Linked DNA regions of Oryzias latipes. The protein of the gene in region 1 purifies or fractionates together with the protein of each later gene. This does not show direct contact. Links are inferred from orthologs where the notes say so. Each region holds a gene or a part of one and is shown in the gene's direction. Other genes may lie near its edges.

Region 1 (7,584 bases):
TGGTCTTGGAATGCTTGTACAGGTGGGATGACTGACTGAAGCGTTTGCCACACTTGAGGCACGCGTAGGGCTTTTCCCCCGTGTGAACGCGAATGTGTTTCTTGCAGTCGGTCAGGGTGAGGAAGGTTTTGCAGCAGATCTTGCAGGCGTACTTTCGAGCCCCTTCCACGACCAAGACGTTGTGCTCCGAAAGGGCCTTCTTGCACTTTGACAGGACATCTGCTGAAGCCCGGGTCAGCTGAGGCGGGAGGGAGGTGGGCCGGCCGCCGTTCATCTCATAACCCCCACTCTCGTTCAGAAGCAGAGGACTTGTTAGGTTGGAGGAAGGTGACGCCGGGTCTTGGACTCTTCCTTCACCTCCTATGCCAGAGTTCATTTTAGGAGCAATACGTCTGTAGCTTGGATAACTCAGGGTGGAAGCGGAAGCACTTCCCATCCCTCTTGAGGGTCGCCCCAGGGAGTGAAGTCCTAAACTGGAGCGCTGGAAGTCCAGAGCAAAAGGATCCACTCCTCCACGTCCAGCACTCCCACTGCTCCCTCTGAGGCCTCCTAAGTTCTCATAAGGAGGCTGCAGGAATAGAGAATCTGGCTGCAGGTTGTCTCCAAAGCCGTTTCTGCTCTCGCCACTTAGCGTGCCCGACTGAATAAGAGAGGACGACGCGGAGGAAGACGGCCCAGCAGCGTCGTGTCTCATCAGGAAGCGATGAGCAACTGCCTCCCCGGTGGTTGTGTTAGGAAGGTCATCCTCTCCAGAAACCAACCCTGACCCACCTCTCCCGAAGTCTTTAGAGCTGAGAAAGTTCGAGATATTAAAATTAGAACTGCTACTCAGCCCATTGTTACTGCCAAACCCCCCCGTGACACCCATTCCTCCTCCCATGCTGCCCTTGAGGAGGAGCTGGGAACTGGAATGGAGCAGAGACTCGGAGCTGGGCTGGGGGTCGGAGGTGAAGCTGCGGTCGCTGCCCTCTGGGCTCAGCTCCACCTTCTCCTCTTCCTCCTGGCAGCCGGGCTCTGCCGGGTCGCTGCCTTCAGCCTGGGACGTCACATCGCTGTTTTCGTCTACAGGCTCAGGTGAGCTGAGAACCTCTCGCTTGACCACCACCTGACAAAAAAAATTAAAAAATGTTTCCACTGTGATGAAAGTTGAGCTGTTTACCGAAGGAAAAAAACGAATATTATGTAGAAACATTAAAATCCCCCCCAAAAAGGAAAAACTGGAAACTAATAAGAAAAAAACTTTATGTGCATCCTTTTTACCTTCCGCTCTTCATCTTCCCCCTGCTCTTCCTCGTTCCCTGACTTTATTTTTACAGTGGCTCTGCTGGCCTGCTGATCCTGGTCACCCATGTCCTCTTCCTTGTTTACTCCTCCTGGAATCCTCACCGAGTTCTCCCCTTCAGAGCGTCCACTGTCTGACTGACTCGGCATCTGAGGGTCATCTTGAGCCACAGCTACAAACCCTGTGATGCCGGCGCCTAGCTTAGAATCATCCCCCGGTTTGTGGGAGTCCGGCGAATGAAGCGCTGCTTCATCCTGATCTGCATTTTCGCCGTCTTCCTCCAACAAACCTAGGTTGGCGCCCCCTGAGGTCCGCTGCCTTTGTCTGGGTCTCTCCTCTGAAATTGTCAGCGCTAGAGACGGCTTTCGTTTGTGGAATCGACGGACTGGGAATGAGGCCCGCTGGTCGACCGCTCTGTTGCTCACGCCGCCTTCCTCCATTCCTCCTAAAGCGGAGCTCACCAAGCTGAGCCCCAGCTGCTGCAGCAAGAAGGAGCGCTGCACCTTCGACGTGGCAGCGTTTCCTGTGAGGCTTGTGTTACCCGCTGAAGCTGGGTTCCCTCCCAAGTCCGCCTGCTGCTGCCTGTGCCTTTGCTGCTCCTGTTGAGAGTGGTGATGGGCCGGCCTCTCAGAGGAGGGCGACACAGGCAGTGTGCGTGTGGTTAGGTAGTGCTTGCAGGCTTTTACGACATTGTTGAGGTGCAAATGTGAGGCGGCGAGGAGGATATCCATGACGTTACTCTCCCCCAGCATCAGCGTCGACGTGTACATCATGTCCACCAGGGCAGCAAATGCCTCAGCCGTGACCACCTGCAAACAGGCAGTTTGTTATCATGATATTAACTCACAGCAGAGCCAGTGCTCGCTTCAGGTCCAAACCTCGCTGTCCAGCTGGATCATATTCATGCTAGCATCTCCCTCGGCGACGGTGAAGAGCGCTCTGAAGTGGGTGCTGCAGGCTGCAAGAACAGAGCGGTGGGCTTTGAAGTGTCGGCTGCCCACCACTATGATGCAGTCGCACAGCTGACCGTGCAGCCGCTGATAGTTCAGCTGCTGGAATATCTGCTCAAAGTGTCCCGGGAAGTCCATGGCTCTGCTGACAAATCAGTCCAAAGGAGGAGGAGAAGGAGACAAAAGTGAGAAGGACGTGGACATCAATGATTTCACAGGGGGCTGCCCAACAGATCTACCACCTTGACTGTTTCCCAGCTCTCCCTGCTCCCTGGATCATCAGGTGTGTTTAGCCACTCAGAATGTGAAGTTACTCAGAATGTGAAGTTAAGTTAATCAACAAGACAACAAGTCTTAGAAACATTCTGGCTTTTTGGGCTGACTTCAATATGTCATTATCAGTGCAAAACACACACATTTGACTTCCTTTTGACTATTTAACATAGACATAACTAAGGAAAGAATTTGAAGGTCAGTAGATTGGGGGTTTAAATCCAAGACTACACAGTCAAAAGTGTCCTTGGGCGAAACACTTAACCTCACGTTGCCTTGGATTGTAATAAACTAGTGAGTCACTTTGGTTAAAAGCGTTTCCAAAGACTCAACATATAACACACACAAAAGAAGGAAATTTAAGTAAGCTAGCTAATTTTTTTTTCAGAATAATTGATTTAATTTTATAGAATTCTGTGGCCTAAAATAGAATTCAATATCTTACTATGCGATAACCGTGTTGTAACATTTATTACATTCAAAAACTTTGGGTAATTAGTCGTTTTAAATTCCCCAAACTTTATATTTTTTTATCGCAACTTGATGATAGAGAATTCGGTTACTGCAAAACAGACCTTAAAGAATAGCTTGCAAGTTTAAACTGGACAATCATGTGGGTTATAAACAATAAATAACATATACTAGATTTTAAAAATGTCAAATAGCACAAATTACCTTTAAGTCTTCCAAAAAGTGTGTCCCCGAAGGAAAAAAATTGAGAAAATATTCAGGGAAAAAAAGTGAAGAGGCTAGTAGTGAGTCTCGTTAGCAGCCGCGCGGCTAGCCAACTCCTTCTAGCTATATAGCAGCACCAGCGGGTGCATTAGGTCTCCCCAAAAGATCGTCTCCGCCGACACCCTTTCCCCCACAAAATGTCCCCTCAAGTGCAGCTACCTATGGCTAACCCTTCCATTGCGGTGTTCATAACATCTCCTCTAAGCCACTTCCTCGTAGTTCTCCAATACAGTCTGAACGGCGTAGTAGTTCAACTGTCGAGAAGAAGGGAGTTGCGATGGTCGTTAGCTTTAGGATGACCGATGAGCAGGATACAACTTCAGAACAATATCATAATACCGATGATCTGGTGTGTTTCCGGCGCTTACCAAGCAGCACGTTTTGCTTAATCTATACGAACATTTATTCAGACGGCTTTTTTTCCCCATCCAGACTCACAGGGTGGCGCTGCTGCACCTTGATTGAAATGACCTCGTTGAGGTAAAGCGCAGCAGTTTGAATGATTCACCACAGGGTGTCGCTGTCGTTCGTAAGTGTCTAGGATGAAAACTATTGAGCGAAATGGTTTTAAATATCTACTTTATTAAGACAGGTGTTGTGAATAATATTTACGTGTATTTAGAAAAAAAATGTTTTTAGACAGCTTTAAGAAAAGACAAAAATTCGTCATTGACCAAATTCACTGAGCGTTACGTTTTACGTAAATACAGATGAGTGAGTCCTCTCGCTCCTTTCACAGATCACAACAACAATCATGGCCGCCTCGTGCAGGATGGTGTGCTGCGAGGAGGAAAGGGAGTCTGACAAAGCGATCATAGGTAATTATTCTCATCTCAGCCTTTTTGAAACAATAATCTCTAAAGCAGGCGAGCATACAGTCAGTATTTGAGTTATCTGTGTTGCATTCAAGTGTATAAAACTATTCCATTTTTCAGGAGTAATCAGAACACGTGAAAGTTACAAGGCAATATTCTCACACATAATCAACATTAACACGCCATTCTCTGTATTTTTTGCAGTCCGATTTTCGAATGGTTTCACCAGCAATGCAGAGGAACTGGATTTTGCCACATTCAAGAACATAGAAGAAAATAATCCGAGGAAAAAGATAAGGCGGATCGTGGTGAGAAATTGCGCATGCGTGCTCGCACACACCATAGTTTGCATGGAATTGATATATTTCAAGCAATCAATATAACATCACACTGAAGAAGAAATACAAATCCACTCATATGTTTATCAAACTTAAGATGGTTTGTCATTTTTTGATTGTAAAATAAAAAATGTTATAAGAGATGCATATCCATATATTTACAACCACACACACGTACATTATACCATAATAATTAAACAAAAATGACAGATTCGCATTCATTAAATATGTAACAGTTGTCTGTTCCATTTAGGTTGCTGAATCAGACAGGTTGTCTTATGTCGGGCAGAATTTTGGAGAAGATTTAATGAAATGCAATAATCTTTGCAGGTTTGTTATCATTACATTTTATATACATTAACATTTGATATAGACCTTTCGTATCCTTATCGAATGAGTTTTGTGATGCAATTATTTTCAGATATTATGTTGGAGTTTTGAATAAAGAAACCATGCAGATGGAGATACACAGCGCTCAGCTATTCAACATGCAACCTGTCATACCAGGTAAAAGAAATGCAATCCCCAAAACAATAACAAGCGATTTTTAAAGGAGGGCAATTTAGTAATGCCAGTTAATTTCCACCAGGAGAGGCAACACATGATGCAAAGCCTCAGGACACCACTCTGTCCTACAGGGAAAAGGTATGAGAAAAACAAGCTTTCTTTTGAAACAAACAAGCACACAGTGAAGTCATGTTTTTTTTTTCTTTCTCAAGGTTGACTCCTTGATTGAGGCCTTTGGCACGAATAAACAGAAACGAGCTCTGAGCTCTCGCAGGCTCAACCAGGTGGGCAGTGATGCTCTGCATCATGCAGTGGCTGAAGCTGCCAGCACTGTGATTGATAACAAGGGTCTGGAAGGTAAGCGTGAAGCTTTCAGCCTTTTGGAGTAATCTAGACAAGAAAATATAACTCAAATTCATACTGGACTTGCCATCATTTTTTTTTTACTACATGTTTTTTTCCCCCTTTTTTTCTTGTTAGCTCTGCAACAGGAAGTAGCTGAAACAGAGTCTCAAGGAGCCCTGTCGTTACACCTACCTCCCTGCAATGCAGATGCAGACAAAAAAGAAGATGTCTACCCCTTTGAAGAGCGTATCTTTTTAACATTACCCCCCCACCCCCAATTTGAACAGATATTGGAAATTACATGCATATGTAGTTCGAGCAAAAGCAGCACTTTTCTCCATCCTTAATTTGACTTCAACAGTACTGAGTCCAGTAGAATTTGCTGCTTTGGAGCCGAACGGTCAAAAGATGACGGCACTAAGCCAAGAGGAGCTGCAGAAGTTGAAAGACCAAAGAGGGTATGGTAGCAGAGAGCATTTTTGTCTTATTAGCCTTATTTACTTATTATTGAATTGAAATATTTCTCTATTTCTTACCAAAGGAATCTGTGTGTGATGAAGCACCTGGAGAACATGCCATCCGCAAGTGAACCTAGAGAGAAAACTGCTCGCTGCGCTTTTTACCTGTCTCTCCTCATCAAACTTGCCCATCAGAAGATTGTCACTCGCAAATGTGAGCAGAATTTTGGAATCTCAGTTATTGAAGTAGTAGATTCTAAATATCGCTGATCAACACGTTAAAATGCCCTGCCCCTAAAGTTTTGTAATGTATGATGCTTTTTCTATTCCACCCGTTTTTGTTTGCAGTTTGGACTGAGGAAGGTTGTCCTCGTGTCATTCAAAGTAAAATTCTCCGAACATTTACAGTGGAGACATACAATAATGGCAGGTGTGTATGCGACAGTACCCCCTCTTTTGTTAAGGTTTAAAAAAAAAAAAAGCTGACAAATGTGTTTTGTGTTCTCCTTTTAGGGTCCAGAACATTGTGTCGACATCAATGCGGGCCAAAATAGCAGCTCACAGTCTGGCTCTGTTGCTGCATTTGGGTGACATGACTGTTAACCTCTCACTGCTTCACCGTGACCTGGAAATCAATGAGGCCAGGTACAAAAACCCCAAATTCTCTCCCTTTAAAACATCTTAGTTATTTTACCAACTGATTTTCCAACCCGAACATAAGACGACTCTCTCTGAGGCACCACCTTTCTCTCTGTGTGGGTTTCGCACATTTTATGACAACCTAGGGTCGGACTTGGCAGCATGTCCCAACATTTGCAAAGATGGATATGCATATTCTGTACATAAAATGAAAGCGCTTTGCTGTTTACCACTAGCTCCGCTGAGAAAGTGGGTGTGTCTGTAAGCCTGGGGGCGGTGCTGGCAGCACAGACTGTTCCTGGAAGGGGCTGTTCCTCACTTCTTGATGTCACTCGCTGTTTTTTTGGATTTGGAGGAGCCGGTCCTTAGAGTGCAGTTTTTTTTTTTTTTTTTTAGAAGATTAGGGCTAAAAACACCAAAAACATTTTATTGGAGTGGGTCTTTAACAAGGTAATATTGTTGTTCTGCCACTAAAGAATGATTCTTGTTTCCCTACAGGATGCTGGAGATTGCAAAGTCGATGGGTTTAACCATAAGCAAGCCAGCCCGCGGTAAAGGAGATGAAGCACAGCTACAGGACGAACACAGATACGCCTCACTTGTTCTGCCTCTGATCAAATACGATAAGTTTGTCGAGAGACGGAAGCGCAAGAAAATGCACTGAAATTCAAAGTAGGATGTGTGGAGAGAAAAAAGACACAAAACTCTCTGTATTTGTTTACAAAATACTTTAATAAATCAAATCATTTGAGTTGTACATGAAATTATTTGACTCGTACATTTGAAGATAGAAAAAAAGCAACCAAGTTGTAAACGTCTAGATGACAGAACCACCACCTTACATGTAGGCACATTTTTTTTTTTTTAATTGTAGACAGAACATATTGCACACTGAACATTTTTGTCCTTCTTTGTCTGGTTGTTACCAAGCAAGCCTGTGGTTGTCATTGTGCAACACAAAAGTGTCTTGAATGACTTGACAACTTCCCACTGAAACGTAATGTCACAGAAGTCAGTAAGTGAACCACAGACTCAGCAGGAAACAGCAGCTCTGTGCAAGAGGCAGAAGCTTCATTTTGGATTTGCTTTTTGCATATACGTTTTAAATTTCTGAAACGTTCTTTTCAAAGCTACAATCACCGACTTTAAAAGTCCCCAAAAGAAAAAAGGGACAGCTTTACTCCGTCGTGTAGCTTTAGCTGGCATCTCTGTATCTGTCTGACTCCTGCTAGGGTTTCTTAA
Region 2 (7,301 bases), on another chromosome or scaffold:
GTGGTTCTCCCTCACTCTTGAACGACTACTTATATCACACAAAAGCTCAGAACTGGTCTATTTGTAAGTGAACCAGCAAATTCTTTGAAATTGTGTTTACTAATTATTTTTGTGTAATCATTTCTTTTGTCTTTGTTCTTTGAGGATGAAGCAGCAGAATTTGGAGGACAGGCAGGCAGATGTGGAGTATGAGCTCAGATGTCTCCTCAACAAACCAGGTTAGCGTCTGCTTTTACCCAGACAGAAATAGAGGTGAGAATCCATAAGCGTCTCTACTGGGCTCAGAAAAATGAGAAAGGCTTTGACTTGATGTGTTTTAACAGAGAGTGAATGGAGTCAGGAGGATCGGGGTCGTGAGCAGCAGCTGATGGATGAGCTGGTCTCCATCATAGAGCAGAGAAATCAGATCATAAGCGGCTTGGATCAGGACCAACAGAGGTTGACGCAAATACTGCTTCCTTATACTCAGACACTAAAATGTAGAAGTTACAGAAAATACACCTTTTTCCTTTTTTCTCATTAGGGATAAAGACAAAGATATGCTTTTGGAAGAAAAAATGAAGAACCGAGGTGAGAGTGACACCAATCCCCTCTTGAAAGTGTCTTGCTGAGGATAATTTTGTTTCACTGCTGTTAATGACAAAATCTCTCTTCAGATTTTCCGAAGGAAGGAGAGAAAGGGCTCAAGAAGCCAAAAGGAAAGTTCAAACCTGCACAGGTGTTTAAAATCCTGAACAACAAACCCGAGAGCAGAAAGGACTCTGGGAGGAAAAAGGACTGAAGAGCTGCAGGAACATTCTGGTCAATTTTAGATTTAGTTTCTCATCTGTAGAAGAGAATCTAGATTATCCAAAAATGTAGGGACTGGTATGAGCTCTCGTCTGTTTGGCACATTCTGTTCAAATTGTTTACAAAGTCCAGCAAGAGAAAAACGGAGTACTTTGAAATAGAAACCAATTCCTACTGATGTTATTTTTTTACCACTTTTTTAAAACCCTGTTTTAAGAAAAATATTTTTCCAAACCTGCATCACTAGAAAATGCTTAAAGTTGTTGTCCTACAGATTTCTTCTGAGACAAAATCAGCCATGCAGATTCCTGCACTATCTTTTGCTATATTTACTTTTTAGTTTTTTTTAGTAATTTGGTTAAAGGGGTTCATCAGAAAATGTATAGAAAACTGTGAAAGAGAGCAATTTTACAAGTGACATTTTTTTAAAAGGTTGTGACAAGAATCTCCTGTCAAATGTTCACTTTTATTGTAAATTATTGCAACTTGTTGTTTACTAAATTAACAAAGAATCAATTGCATATTTCATAGTTGGGCTATATTTGAAAAAAAAAAGTTTATGTGTAACCAACAAACAGGATTAATTTTGTTGTTAAAAACGTGAACATTTCTTCCTTTTTGTGTTTAGAAATTCTTACCCATCCACTGCTATATTTATAAAATAGGTAATGAAGAATTGTTTTAAAAGAAATCTCTTTTGTATAGACACATTTTATTAAATAAGTGAAGAATCTAAATGGATCTGTTCTTTGACAAAGTGCCAGCTGTTTGAGCTTAACCCTAGCAAAAAGTTGACGCTTTTATTTTTTTAAGTTTGCTTGAATATAAGTATAAAGCAAGTACGCTGTACTAAAGACCATGTTCATGTAGTGTAGAGATGAAGTATACTAACAGAATATTTCTTGAGACTGGAAATTGGAAATTTTAAGTTTACAATATCTAGATTTTATCTTGACATTATATTTTAAAAAAATAAACGTCAAGTATACTGCCTCACATTTATAAGTATACTTGTAGTACACTTAAATAGACTACTTCTTGCAATGAGTATTCTTACATAAGACAGGAAAGCACTTGCAAAAACATTTTTATGTTGTTTATTGTGAATATCTTTTCATTTGATCACGTAGGAAAATATATTAGATGAAGAGTAAAAAAAACAGAATCCAGCCTTAGCTCTGAATGTTTTTTCGCATTCGGTTGACCCAATTCTGTTCTTTAACTTTGCACTAAGTGACATGCCATTGTTACTCGTTTTCTATAAATGCAGGGCAAAAAATTAAGAATTATTAGTATTCATTTTCTCTCAAGGGTACATTAAAATAAATGTTGAAAACTATCATTTTGGTGTCTTCTTTTTCTCTAAAGGTACAGCCTTGGTTTTCCATAGTTTGATGGATTTATATTTATTTCTAGTTGAAGTTTATTTTGTTTAGGATACTTGACTATAATAGAAAGTAAGCTTTTTATATACTATTTGTTTGCTTGTTTTTAAATTGAATTAGAAAAAGGTAGGACAAAAAAAGAAATTCTAGTTGAGAAGCCGGACATAATTTTTCAGCGTACACGCGCACCGGAAGTTTAGAGACCACAACGCTCAATGTGGTTTAGCCTCTAAATTAAATTTGCTGCTAATAAACTCTATTAGTATCTATATTGGAAAAAATATAAGTTAAAACATGTCTGATAACGAAGACAAGTAAGTTGTGATCTATGTTCATCAAATAATGTCATGGTATATGTTAATTTTAAATCTATTTTAGCGTGTAGCCTGTTAGCTAAGCTAGGTTACGACTTCACCGTTTTCGGTCTTTGATACAGTTTTTGTCAACATTTGCAGCTTTGATGATGGAGACTTTGAGGACGCCGATGAGGACGAAGGATTAGACGATCTGGAAAACGTGGAAGATGTATGTTCGTCTGCACTTTTTTCATTTAGTGGATCATATTTGGGGTTCATTATTCATGATTTCTATCTGGCAGTCTAATCAGATGCTTGTTTTCCTTGGATGATCATCAGGAGGACCAGGAGAACGTACAGATCCTCCCCGCAGGAGAGGGGCAGCAGGCTAACCAGAAAAGGATTACAACACCGCACATGACCAAATATGAGAGAGCGAGAGTGCTGGGAACACGAGCCCTCCAAATAGCGTGAGTTGTTTACTGTAAAATAAGCGCTTTACTCTTCTAAACCAATAAGTTAGGCTTCCAAACATTTGTGGCTTTGTTGTTCTTCTTATTTTATTTTGCTAATTTGTCGTGTGGAGCAGCTGATCAAACAGATGAGAGCTGAAGGCCCCTGGTGTTGGACAGATTGTAATGTTACCATAGGAGTTTTGAAGCTTTGGGCAGAGGAGGTTTATGTCACTACAAACCTTTTTGTATTGAGGCTTAACTTTATTTTATTAATATTTGTGCTTATTGAACTATGCTGCATGTACCCCATCTTTGCCCCAAAACAGCTAGGATAGGCTCCTTCAGACCCTGATCTACAATAGGCCGGTTTTAGAAAAATGATGGACTTGTGTCCATTCCTTTTTGGACCGGAGAAAACGGAGAAGGATAGTGGGATATTAGGGATGGGGGGGACAAGATAGAAAAGGACATATAGAAGTTGGAGAGTCACCAAAGAAACACACCATTGCAAACAAAAAGAGACAAAACGTTGCTAGAGGTTATTTATAACTTTCACAATTAGATGTTTATGTTTATCGCACACACTGAATATTATAAACATTCCTGTTGCCCTCAAAAACCTTCACTCTTGCATATTGTCATGTACACAACACAGATAGAGATCAGATAAATATGCACCTTCATTTGCATAAAAGCAGATACAATCTCATACAAAAGTCCTTTTCTGAGCCAAGGTGAGTGGGCATTGGTGCTTAGTTTTTTTGTCTGTGTTCTACTGTGGACAATGATGGTATGAAGCGTAATGAATAAAAAAAAGGGGGGGAGCACCTGGTCGTCCCACACCAAGCCCCCCAGAATGAGGTGAGGCAGTAGCGGCAGCCAGGACCACCACAGCCAGGAGGGAATCCACCACCCCAGTGACCCGATACCAGCCATCCATACCAGAGGAGGGACTGCCGAAATAGTCCCCAGCACCAAAGAGCAAGGAGTCACAGGAGCATGGAGAATGCACGCCCTGGCCCAGCTAGAGAAAAGCCCCCCAGCTGTGCTATGGGCCCATCACGAGGTCCCAACTGGTTGCTGCAGATCACGTGTTTCAGGGACAAACAAAAAAATCTTTGCATCTCATTTTGTCAAAATGACACTGAATTACATTTCTCAGTTTTGCAGCTTTGAAGGCAGGTTCTGGGTTTGAACCTGGTTGTTGACATCTCTGTGTTTTTGTGTTTGGGCCGTTTAAGGACACACTGGTTTGAAAAGTGTGTGTGTGAATGAACAGTCCATGAATCCTCTGCCCCGCCTGTTTTCTGGCTTTAAAATAATGACATTTTACTTCAATTTGGGATTTATTTTGAGGATTTTGTCGTTGTTCTGCCGACAGCATGTGCGCTCCTGTGATGGTCGAGTTGGAGGGAGAAACAGACCCCTTGCAGATCGCCATGAAGGAACTAAAGTACATCAGATTATTCCATTTCTGTCTAAATTCTTTCATCTTGTTTTGTTCCTGGTAACTCAATGTTTGCCGTTTGTTCTGAACAGGAGCAGAAAGATCCCCATCATCATCCGCAGGTACCTCCCCGACGGCAGCTACGAGGACTGGGGCTGTGATGAGCTCATCATTACCGACTAAACAAACCTGGACTTTCAGCTGAACTTCAGAGCTTCGATGATACCAAACAGAAGCAGCAAATGCAGTCATTTTAAAACCTGCTTTGCAAGCATGAGCCAGTAGGGGGAGACATAACTTTGTTTAAACACATTTTTTTAACAAACTGAACTTTTGTTGTAAGTATTCCAAGTGTTGATTTTGATCAGAGATCATCTGTTTTATTGTTATAAATAAAGTCTTTTTTTATGATAATTTCACGGTTTCTGACTGTTATTATTAAAGTTTTAATGTCAGCATGAGTCATAGTCAGGGAAAAAATGGTCAGTTTTGGTCATTTAAAAAAAGAACCAAATCAGTTGATTAAACTTCAAGAATCATGTGGTGTTTGATTGATGCAGCTTTGATGTCAGCGGGTCTTTATTTTCCTTGAGGCTACAGCCCTTGTGGATTTGGTGAAGCCGTCAGAAAACAGACGGAGGCTCTCTCTGAGTTTATCCACGGAACCATGTGAATGAAGCAGCTCAACAGGTCGGCATTGTTCAAAGGGAGTGTTTGCCCTGGCAGAGAGACGCGCGGCGCTGGAGGAAAAACCAGTGCTCAGGGGAGAAGGGCTTGTTCTTGAGTTTTCTGCCCGAAGAGAATCTATTTTCAGCCCAGCTCTGAGGCCCCGTTTGATGCCAAAAATTGCGACTTAGTTTTCATATGAGCCTCAAGAAAGTGACATTTTTGGTGTCTCAATTTTCACACTAGTACTAATGTACTAGTCTTTAAATTATTTAAACTTTTATTTAAGGTTCAGCAGGAAAAAAAATATTGACAACTGTAAAACATAGCAGTCAGGATTATGCTAGTTATAATTTTTGTCTAATAATGTTTTTCAGTACAAAAGCATAAACTAAATTGAAATTGGCTTATGTAACCCTTGTGCTATCTTAGATGACCCCACCCTTACTTTGACGTGTTATTCCTACCATGACAAAGGTGGATAAAGGTGGAAAGATTTCATGTAATCCATGGACACCAGTGAAGATCACAAATCATTGAAGAAAAAGGGTTCAGAGCACTGTTTAGTAGTGGGTCTAGATGACCCAACTCCCAATGTTAAAGTGCCTAGGATAGCACAAGGGATAAATAGCTTAACTCCTTGAGTTTATTTCCAAAAAAGGAAGAAAAAAACATTTTTTGCTTTCAAGTAGAAGAAATTAAGGTAAATATGGAGTAAAAGTGGTTAGATCCAAGTTTGTATCAAATATACGTTAAGGGGTTAAGTAGCATTCTTATTCTTTCATCCAAAAAAGAATTGAGACACGTTACTTTTAAAAAGCCTTTCATGTCCAACTGCTGTTATGATTATTGCTTTGGTATTGTAAGGAACGTAGTGATGCTACGATTCTCAGTTAAAAACCAAACCCTATGTTAAACCATTGAACTACGTTGTGGAAAAATGTATTGTTGCATCACTGCTGCAAACATTTACACATGTTTGCGTTGAAAGTGTGTTGTGCTAAGTTCAATATATTTAACAGTGTTTATTACATCACACCAAGGTTACTATGAACCAGCTGAAAGGTTTTCTTTTTACTATTTGCTTATTTAATTATAAAGTCGATTTTTTTAGTTTTTTGTTGTTGTTTTGCCATGCACTATTAGCATATTGAACTGAAAACAAAACTGTCACCCAAAAAGTGAGGTTTGAACCGAATTGTGGGGAAAGTGAATCGCTTTGCCTATGAATTTATCGGGTCATTTTCTCTGTTAAATATCTGCATACCTCAGGCCTCAATTTCCTTGAATACAGTTTTTCAGCACCTGAAATCTTCCAAAGATTTTCATTTTTTCAAACCTTGCATGAACGTCAGCGTTATACATTCTTTTTCTGAATAGTCGATATGTGTGAGCCCTAGACTATATTTAAAAAATGTCCTTATCTTTGGGTCTTATGATCAAGTTAACACAATTCAAATGTGCAGTGACACACAAAAAAAAACACAATTCTGTCGTTTATTTTTTAAAAGTATTTTGTGACAAAAAAAATCATCTTTCAATGAATTGTGAATTCAAAGTATTTAATCTGGGACTTGAAGTCCTGTCAAACAAGCCCAAACCATCGCCCCTCCTCTGTCGTGCCTAAATTCTAGTATGGAGCAATACATGGTTTCTGACATCCTAAGTTAACATTTTGTCTTGACTTTGTTTTCCTGTATAGTCATAAAAGGATGACTTTGTTTGTTTTTGCTGCTGAAGATCATTTTAGTTTATCTTTCGTGCATTTCTTACTCTCAAAAGAAGCTTAGTGGACCAGAATTTGGTCTGAACTGTGTTTATTTACCACAGTGGCACGGTGAGAGGGTGCAACAGGAAGAGTAGTGAGAGTTGCACACAGTAAGGGTCGCTTTGTGTGACAGTGAAGCTACAGAGCGGGCAGTTATGGGGTTAGACTCCCTCCCTGCCCTCATTCCCTTCTCCCTCACCTCCCCCATCAATGGTCCTCTTTGTTTTTTCCAAAGTATCACACAGCCGATTAAAGAGAGAGGGAATTAGGAGTCAGGCCTAATCTGCACCAAACACAGAGACACATACATGTATGCATAACGGCAGAAATCTGGAATATGCATCCAGGCTTCCATAGCAAGTCCTGAACCCCCACCCCGAGAAGGCTGGAGGCTCAAGTGAGGTCAAGGGAAACTGAATCTGCACCAGTTTGTCCCCATCATTGCTCCTCTCTCCCAGTTTACTAGAAATTATAATTATAATCTCTAAACTGTAT

What was found. The genes of interacting proteins can lie anywhere in the genome.
Region 2: the proteins of polr1e (region 1) and polr2f purify together in Homo sapiens (affinity purification with mass spectrometry; 4 studies listed by BioGRID and IntAct, with this or other methods). This does not show direct contact. The link is inferred for Oryzias latipes from reciprocal best matches to the Homo sapiens genes POLR1E and POLR2F.

The regions. Positions count from the first base shown.
Region 1 is NC_019859.2:12,630,125-12,637,708, reverse strand, and holds polr1e (DNA-directed RNA polymerase I subunit RPA49), read left to right. Parts: upstream 1-3,724; 5' UTR 3,725-3,739; coding exon 3,740-3,769; intron 3,770-3,979; coding exon 3,980-4,058; intron 4,059-4,259; coding exon 4,260-4,363; intron 4,364-4,646; coding exon 4,647-4,723; intron 4,724-4,814; coding exon 4,815-4,900; intron 4,901-4,982; coding exon 4,983-5,038; intron 5,039-5,112; coding exon 5,113-5,257; intron 5,258-5,380; coding exon 5,381-5,491; intron 5,492-5,606; coding exon 5,607-5,703; intron 5,704-5,786; coding exon 5,787-5,917; intron 5,918-6,051; coding exon 6,052-6,133; intron 6,134-6,216; coding exon 6,217-6,348; intron 6,349-6,840; coding exon 6,841-7,006; 3' UTR 7,007-7,096; downstream 7,097-7,584. Other genes in the region: zinc finger and BTB domain-containing protein 5-like, read right to left, coding at 1-1,105, 1,261-2,091, 2,161-2,370. UniProt on the Homo sapiens protein: Component of RNA polymerase I (Pol I), a DNA-dependent RNA polymerase which synthesizes ribosomal RNA precursors using the four ribonucleoside triphosphates as substrates.
Region 2 is NC_019866.2:19,812,592-19,819,892, forward strand, and holds polr2f (DNA-directed RNA polymerases I, II, and III subunit RPABC2), read left to right. Parts: upstream 1-2,333; 5' UTR 2,334-2,468; coding exon 2,469-2,488; intron 2,489-2,629; coding exon 2,630-2,699; intron 2,700-2,809; coding exon 2,810-2,940; intron 2,941-4,306; coding exon 4,307-4,378; intron 4,379-4,464; coding exon 4,465-4,555; 3' UTR 4,556-4,786; downstream 4,787-7,301. Other genes in the region: MICAL-like protein 1, read left to right, coding at 1-63, 145-218, 324-438, 524-570, 657-781. UniProt on the Homo sapiens protein: DNA-dependent RNA polymerase catalyzes the transcription of DNA into RNA using the four ribonucleoside triphosphates as substrates.